2 linked regions of the Caenorhabditis elegans genome follow. The protein of the gene in region 1 interacts with the protein of each later gene in a pairwise test. Each region holds a gene or a part of one and is shown on either strand. Other genes may lie near its edges.

The links.
Region 2: the proteins of gop-1 (region 1) and unc-108 interact in a two-hybrid assay, tested with the Caenorhabditis elegans proteins (one study listed by BioGRID).

What each region holds. Positions count from the first base shown.
Region 1 is NC_003281.10:5,252,605-5,256,531, reverse strand, and holds the start of gop-1 (Protein CLEC16A homolog), read right to left. Parts: upstream 2,095-3,927; 5' UTR 2,063-2,094; coding exon 1,863-2,062; intron 1,815-1,862; coding exon 1,684-1,814; intron 1,639-1,683; coding exon 1,340-1,638; intron 1,289-1,339; coding exon 1,096-1,288; intron 1,049-1,095; coding exon 933-1,048; intron 883-932; coding exon 725-882; intron 677-724; coding exon 573-676; intron 1-572. Other genes in the region: Protein sumv-1, read left to right, coding at 2,346-2,486, 2,543-2,718, 2,763-2,855, 2,911-3,059, 3,109-3,188, 3,236-3,407, 3,455-3,553, 3,603-3,694 and 1 more. UniProt on the Caenorhabditis elegans protein: Regulator of mitophagy.
Region 2 is NC_003279.8:3,821,064-3,824,990, forward strand, and holds the start of unc-108 (Ras-related protein Rab-2), read left to right. Parts: upstream 1-1,819; coding exon 1,820-1,842; intron 1,843-3,883; coding exon 3,884-3,927. Other genes in the region: npp-11 (Nsp1_C domain-containing protein), read left to right, coding at 1-132, 188-261.

The sequences.
Region 1 (3,927 bases):
AAAATTTATTTTGAAAAGAGGAATATTTTATAGAGTATCGTCATGTTATTAATGTTTCGGCAAAATTTGGTTCAATTGTTTTTTAAAAAACAATGTTACTTAAAACTTTACTTGTTGAGCTTCACAAATGCAAATCTTAGATGGATTTTGTAAAAACGAAGATTTATTAAACCTTTTTTTTTAAATATTCCTATTAAAAAGCCGATGAGAACGGTAAAAAAGCATTCAACGCTAAAATAAAAACAGCTCTTTGAGCAGAAAACAAGATAAATCAAACAAAGCGCGGCGAGACCCACACAACAAGCTACGCATGTGTCCCTTTAAATTTACATTACTTCGGCAATTTCTGCGCGCCCTCTTTTTATTCATTTTTTTTAAATAGAAAATTATCTGGATGACGATATTTACTGTATGATATCAAAAAAATTTGAAAACTGTTCATGCAAAACTAAAAAAATGAAGAAAACGATCACAGATGAACAGGAACTTTACAACATTGAAAACTTACTGTCTGAAGAGGAGTTATTGGAAATGGAAATTTTAATTTAACAAATCAATTTTTTAAAACTCACCATTATTCTGAAACATTGAATAAATCAGCATTAATCCATAGAATGCCTTCGAATCGTCTGCTTGACTGGAATCAAATGCTTCCAGTAGAAAATCGAAAAATACGCTGAAAATACTATATTCAAAGCAAAAATTTTAAAATTTCAGCTCTTACTGGTCTTCATTCACATATTCTCCGGTTGGTGATGATAATGTAATCGGTTCTAAGCAATATTTCTCATTATGACGTATCCAATGGGTCGTCAAAGTATTCTGAGTGTCAAATAGGAAAGATGATAAAAATGTATATATTGTTTCATGGTGACGAACTATCTGAAAAATAAATAAATTAGAAAAATGTAATTTTAAATGTTAAAACTCACCAATAAAAATTCAGAGAAAAAAAATAACGCAGAAATCGGAGTGAGTAGAAGTGAATGATTATCTCTTCTTGGTGATATACTTGAAAGTAATAGAGGGCTTAAGTATCGTGTTGTTACTGAAAATTTAACATTAAAAACTTGATTTTCCAGCAGTAAAACTGACCTAAAATTGATAAACTTTCGGCGACAGCTTCCACATCCAATAGTTCACCAATATAATGAATCAAATCAATTAAATCATCCACTTTTCCTCGTAATCTCTCTCGATTAGCTAACACATTCTCAGCAGATCGTACAAATGTGTCCATTTCAAGTGAGAGACCAACTAGAGAATCTATTAACTCCGATAGATATTCCTGTAATATTTATTGCTTAAATACACCTTTTCAAAATAATTTTCTACTAACTTTTGTATGCTTGATAGCGAAAATAATCATTGAATCATCTTGAACTCTCACAATATTTAAAAGAATATTTCTAACAGCAATTCGAACCATTGATTCATTCCAATTATAAAGCTTCAAAACTTCTACCAACAATGGAAATTCTTCAGTCGTTTCATTGAAGAAGAAGTGGATTGTAGCTGGATTCAGTTTAAATGAAAGAGTTTTCAGAAAACTAATGTAGTAAGCCATGATCTCATCATTTTGTAAATCGAATTTGTGGGAAATAATCGAGTTTACATGATTGTTACTTAGAAGGAAATCTGAAAACTGGCAATTTTAAGCGAAAATCCATATAAAAAACTTACAAAGTGAAGTTTCATGTCGAATATTTTCGAATAAAATGTTCAAAGTCTGCAGTAATTGTACATTTAGTGGTGTGTTTCCTTGTTCCATAATTTTCAAGAAATAAAGAAGCATTTGCCGCTCAAGGAAGAAACTGAAATTCAACATCAGATTTGAAAAAAAACATTGGAAAAAAACTCACTCAAAAACCGAAGCATCATTCTGATCGCCCCAAATGAGAATTTCTGCGATAGCTCGTAATGCTTCTACTAATATTTTCTTATTGTTTTCCGTAACTTTCTCATTTTTTGTGAGCACTCCTTGTAAATATTTGAGGTATTCCAAAGAATGCGGATTTTTCGGCTTCCATAGTGACCCAGAAGAACCAAGCTTGCGGAACATTATCGATTTTGTTCCAGGTTTATTGGTGCATTCTGAATATTTAAATATTTATTCAAAGTTTAAAAAGAAAGATTTAGCTTGAAAATTAAATTAAAAGAGAAGATAAAAACTGCGCACAAGGGTGCGCCGAAAAAAAGTTTTACTTCTCAAACGATGCTCCGAAATAACGTTTTCGCGTGTTGTTTATTACTTCAAATTTCAGTTGTTTATTTTTCAGAAAATTGTTTTAATTTGTTTTATCTCAACTTTTTGACTCAATTTTCCATTTTTATTTTTAAGCAGCATGAAACAAACAACTCGTCCTCCTGCTCAATATATAGTTGCACCTGGAACACGATTCCGTCTTGTTGCCAATGAATACGACAAAAATAAGTATGGACAATGTAATTATGCTTCGTATCGAACGCTTGTTCGGTGTAAGCAGGTGAGAAAAAATACGAAAATTTGATAGTAAGCTTTTTTTCAAATTTAAAATTTTAGATACGATCAAAAGAAGAACTTGCGAAACATGGCGGCCGTTGTGAAGAGCACGTCGAATTTTCAAAAACGTTAGAAAATAATCATAAGAAAGAAGTGATGCGGTGCCATGCGGAAAATGATTCAAAGATGCAAAGACGTCGTTTTGATCCGTGGATTGCATCAAATGAGTATATTTCGTAAGTAAAGTTTTTTTTTTGAAATTGAAAATAACAATTTCCAGAGACGATGACGACTACCTCCAAGCTGCTCAAACAGTTCCTCAGCGTCTTCCAGATGTGGCAAATGATGATATATTGGATAATAATTCGTTAAGGTATTCTTATTAATTATTTTTCTTGGGAATTAGAAAAATAAATTCGAAATTTCAGATACGCTGAATACTATACTGACAAAGATATATTGAATATCAAGATGGATTTAGTACAAAAGGATATTGACGATTTAATTGAATTTAAAGAATTGGTCACAAGTCAAGCACAAAAAGAGCATGAATTGTTAGGAAATGATGAAGAAGAAGGTAATTCAATTTAATAGGCATTTTCGATGAAATTTATTGCGTTTTTCAGATTATCCAACAGATATGGCCCAGCGAAGAATTTTCAAAGCATCCACAAAATACTCAAGGAATGACTATCTGACATTGACGGTAATGAATTCTGAAAATGTTTCATTATTCTATTGATATTTTTTTAGACAATTGATCCAGTATTCCATCAATGTTGTGTTGGACCAGATATGGATGATTCTTTAGTTATTGTACACACAATGCACTCTATTTTGGATAAAATTGACAATTTTGAACCAATCGACTCTGAAAAGCAATGTAACAAGCCGGCGCTTCATCTTAGCAAATTTTGCTTTGATCGTAAGTTTTAAAAATATTTTTTCGTGGCTTACAAATTCAAAGTCCAGATATTATACTGGATCGTTCTCAAAAAATGTTCGATGTCTGCAATGCATGTGGTCTTACTGCAATTGGAGGAGTTGATCCGAAATGTTCGTTCCATATAAGTGAGTGCCAAATCATTTTGAAAAAATCTGATTTTAAAAAAATTTCCAGAAAGTTCTGCAATAGCTGAAACTACGTCTTGCCCGTGTAATCGGTGTGTCCAACCTGGTGAACATGCTTCCCCGAAAGATGAGAAAAATTCGGTAAATTGTTTTTTTTTCAATTATAGAAAAACATTTTTTAAGTCGTTATTTTTAGATAACCTGCTATTTGAATTCATCCGACGACGACGAGCCTACACTGGGAAACTTGTCAAGAATCGAATCGGTTTGTTTTTCAGACATTTTTGAGTTAAAAGAGAAAAAACCGATCAATTTAGATTTTGATATTCCCAAAATGACCTCAAGCAGCCGATTTTCACTTCTCAAAAATTTCC
Region 2 (3,927 bases), on another chromosome or scaffold:
ATCAAATCACCAAGTCACTTAACACAATGCAATCGACAGTTTTGAAGACGAAAACCGAGACCCCGCTGGAGAAAACTGAGCTTATTATGAAGAAGCAGCTGCAGAAGCTGATGGATCTCTCCACTCAACACGGTACTAATTTTAGAGTTTTTAATCAAATTATTAAATGTCAATTTTTATTTTACAGATGCTACTCGTGATAAGCTGAACAAGCTGAAGGATGACCACAATCTGAAAACGAACAACTCGTCGAAGGCCTAGATTCTTACTTTTTATTTATATATTCATTTTTTCTTTAAATTGAAACTCTAATTCTTTAAACCTATACACTTTCACCTGTTTTCTTCATGATCACCACCATCACACTATTTATTTTTTTTGTTATTGTCTGTTTTGTTGTGTGTTTGGTTGAGTTTGTGAATGAACTTGTTTTTAAAAAATATTGATTATATTTTGGTTTTTTTTTTCAAGTGTTTTTTAAAATTACACTGATATATTTTATATTTTCTTGTTTGGAAAATATTTACTTGTGTATTTTAACTCTACATTTTAAAATTAAATTTTAAATATAATTAATTGTTTTATTTCTTCATTTTTTTTTTTTTTTTGGCTTGGAAAATTTTATTTAACTAAAAAAATTAACATTTTAATATGTGGCCCAAGTTATACCCAAGTATTTACCTCTTGCTCTTTAAATTTCAACGAATTTCGTTGAATTTCCCCCATTTGCGGGGGTCACTATTGTTATCAAAAGATCCTTATCATAGTTTTTGATGCTCTAGAAATTTCTAATTGCTTTTCCTTGTGATTTTGAAAACGTTTACAGTGATGTTTCTCTTTTTTGATTTCATCAATTTATCTTGCATCCCTAGGAGCTCCTAGTCAAATGTTAGTATTTTGTGATTTTTGAAAGTACGGTAGCTGCGAGATCGATCGTTTCGAGACTGGAAACCCTACTTTTCATCAAATATCGTAAGATTCCTCGAAGGAGTAACCACCTGTATTGAAAATCGAGGGTGTCAGGTTTTCAATTTTTTGCTAAAATCGAAAAACTAAACTTTTCTTAGAAATAAGTTTTTTAATTCACCAATTTTTGTTTTTGATGTTGATGAAAAAATATATTTACGAAAACAATTTTTAATTTTCTTTTCAAAAAATAATAAAAATAGCCAAAATTTAAAAAAATTTTTTTGATTTTTAGTGGAAATTCAAAAACCGACACCCTTGATGTAAAATTTCCCAACATTGAAAAAGAGTGATATCATTTTTTCCAAATTAGTATTCGTCAAAGTGCAAAAATGCTCTCCGTCTCTTCTCAACGTTGTGTCGTCAATAGTGCTGCTCATTCGCAATTGTTGCTCTCAGAGAGCAGAAGTGGAGGATTATTCGTACACCTGAAGAGACTATATTCCCGCATTCTTTCCTCTTCGTCTTCTTCTTCTTCTTAACCGAAAAATTCGTCAAGCTTTCGCCTTGCTCATTATGCAAAATCTGTTTGCCCCGAGGTCCGGCTAAATGAAGGATCCGAGTGTGTTTTCGTTGAAGATGTCTTTCTTCTTTTCTGTTTTCTCTCTTTTTTTTCTTCTCCAGCTCCACGTAATTGGTGACTCGAGTAGAACTCTATAGCCATTCAGTCTTCTCCAACATCGTCTAACAAAGCCTCTCTTTCAGCTTCTATCTTCTCTCTCTCTCTCTAGTTGACGTCTTCTACGTCTCTCTCTCTCGTTTCAATCTCACTAACCCCCTATTCACGTGAATTCAGCGTCGTCGTCGTCGTCGTCTTCTCTACCCGTGATTCTCGTGACTTCACATAAGCACAATGTCTGCGCCTCCGCTATACGGGTATGATGATAGTCCAATAAGGAAGAGAAGCTCTCTATTGCAGAGTTGAATCTTTTGGGCTAAGTTTATTAATATGGCCATGCACCAGCTTTTTTTTCACATTCACTTCTCTTGTTAAGAAAATTTGAGTAAAATTCGAGTAAAATTACGACTTTTGTAGAATCTGCTATTTTAATTCCAGTGGCCTAGATTTTAAGCATATAATTTGAAGTTTTTAAAACTTTTTACCGATTTTTACTTTTAAAGTTAAAAAAAAAATTATTGATATAATAGTAGGTCCTAAATTATTACGATGTATGCTAGGTCTACTAGCTCTTCTGAAATGAATTTCCACAAATTTATTCGATCATTCCAGTGAATTGGAACTTCCCTCTCAATTGAGACTACAATAATTTGAACATCGTTAGTTATGCGATCAATTAAAGGGCGAAAGGATAACGCATACACTTTCGTTTGCCCGATGTAGATAACAGAAAAGCCATTAGTTGAGAGGCGTCAGTTTCATTATAAACTTCGTAATTCACTTCTGTTTCATAGGCAGTTGCAATGAAGTGATCGTACTTTAGATTTTTTTTTTCTAATTGAAATAATTTCTCCAAAAGCCCATGACCGGAAATCAATTTTTGAAATTTTCATCTGTCGCACACTCTCTTTTGCCAATTCTGTTTGGCTATATATATATGTGTGTGTGTGGTTTTGTGCATGGCTACGAGGGGCTCGACCCAATTAAACAGCACGAAAGGGAAAAGGAGTCCCTCTCTTTTTCGCTCAGCTTTCTCTTATTCCCGATTCTAGAGAGCCGCGCCCCCGACATTTGACATGGAAGAAGAAGAAGAAAAAGAAGAAGAAACATATGAGATCTCACGAGCGCACATCTTCTGAAATGAATTCCAATTGCACCTTCTTATTCGTGTTTCCTGCCAGCAGACTACTTTATTTCTTTTTTTTCTGATCTATGTGTCTTAGAATCTGAAAAAAATTTTTGTCCATATCTGGGCGAGACCCATGGAAATTAATGTAATGTGCCTTTAAAGGAACATGAAAAAGAAAATCCGAAAAAAAATTGAATTTGCAAAAAAAGATATCTCCAAGAAGCCTATTGCTCATTTATTTTATTTTGGCAAAATTGAAAAAAAAAAACATTAACATTTTTTTTTAAATTTTCAAGCAGTTATATTCGGTCATTTAAACTAAAAAATTGTGGCTCTACTCCACCTTGAAATAACCACAATAGTAAGTACAGTAGTTTCATTAAAATAATTTACATTTTTTGGCAGCAAAAAAAGTCTGCTCCCAAATAAAACCCAGACCCGCCGTTCATCACTTGTGTTATTCTTTTCTCGAAAAAAAACGACTCGATCCATTCGTTTTCAGGATATGCTTCTGTGTGTGTATGTGTGCAAAACGAAGAAGCACGTCATCCGAAATAAATAGTCACACATCTCTTTGCTCCCATTTTCCCTCTCTTTCTCTGGTTCTCTCTATCTCTCTTCATCTCTCTTGTTATAGACGCAGAGATAACCCTCCGCTCACAACCACGCTCACGAGACACTCACCACGCGCTCACTCTCTTCGATTTTTTGGCTGTGTTGGTGGTGGCGGTGGCAAGAGAGAGAGAGTGAAAAAATGTGAAAAAAAGGCATGGGTTCCTTGGAATATATATGTTTGGAAGAGGTTATATTGACTTTAACTAACTTTTTTTGCTCAAAAATTTTGCTCTTTTCTGCTATTTTCGCCAATTTTATTTGCTTCAAAAATGTTTTCTAACATGCTGGCCGAACTTTTCCCTATTTCTTATCCATCTTCATCATATGATTCGACCTCATTTCGTAACTTCCTTCACTACGCTCCTCAGTCATGAGGAAGTATTGATTGGTCTGCCTCGTCCACACCACGTCATCAATTTTCCAAAGTTTATGTTTTTTCAGTGTGTGTGTGTTCTCTTCTTCTATTACTTCTACCACCTTTCTCTCTCTTTTTTCACTTTTTTGAGCATTTTCCGATCAATCAATAATCGATTAATCAATTAATCAACTTCCAGAAGAATGTCATATGCCTACCTTTTCAAGTACATTATCATCGGGG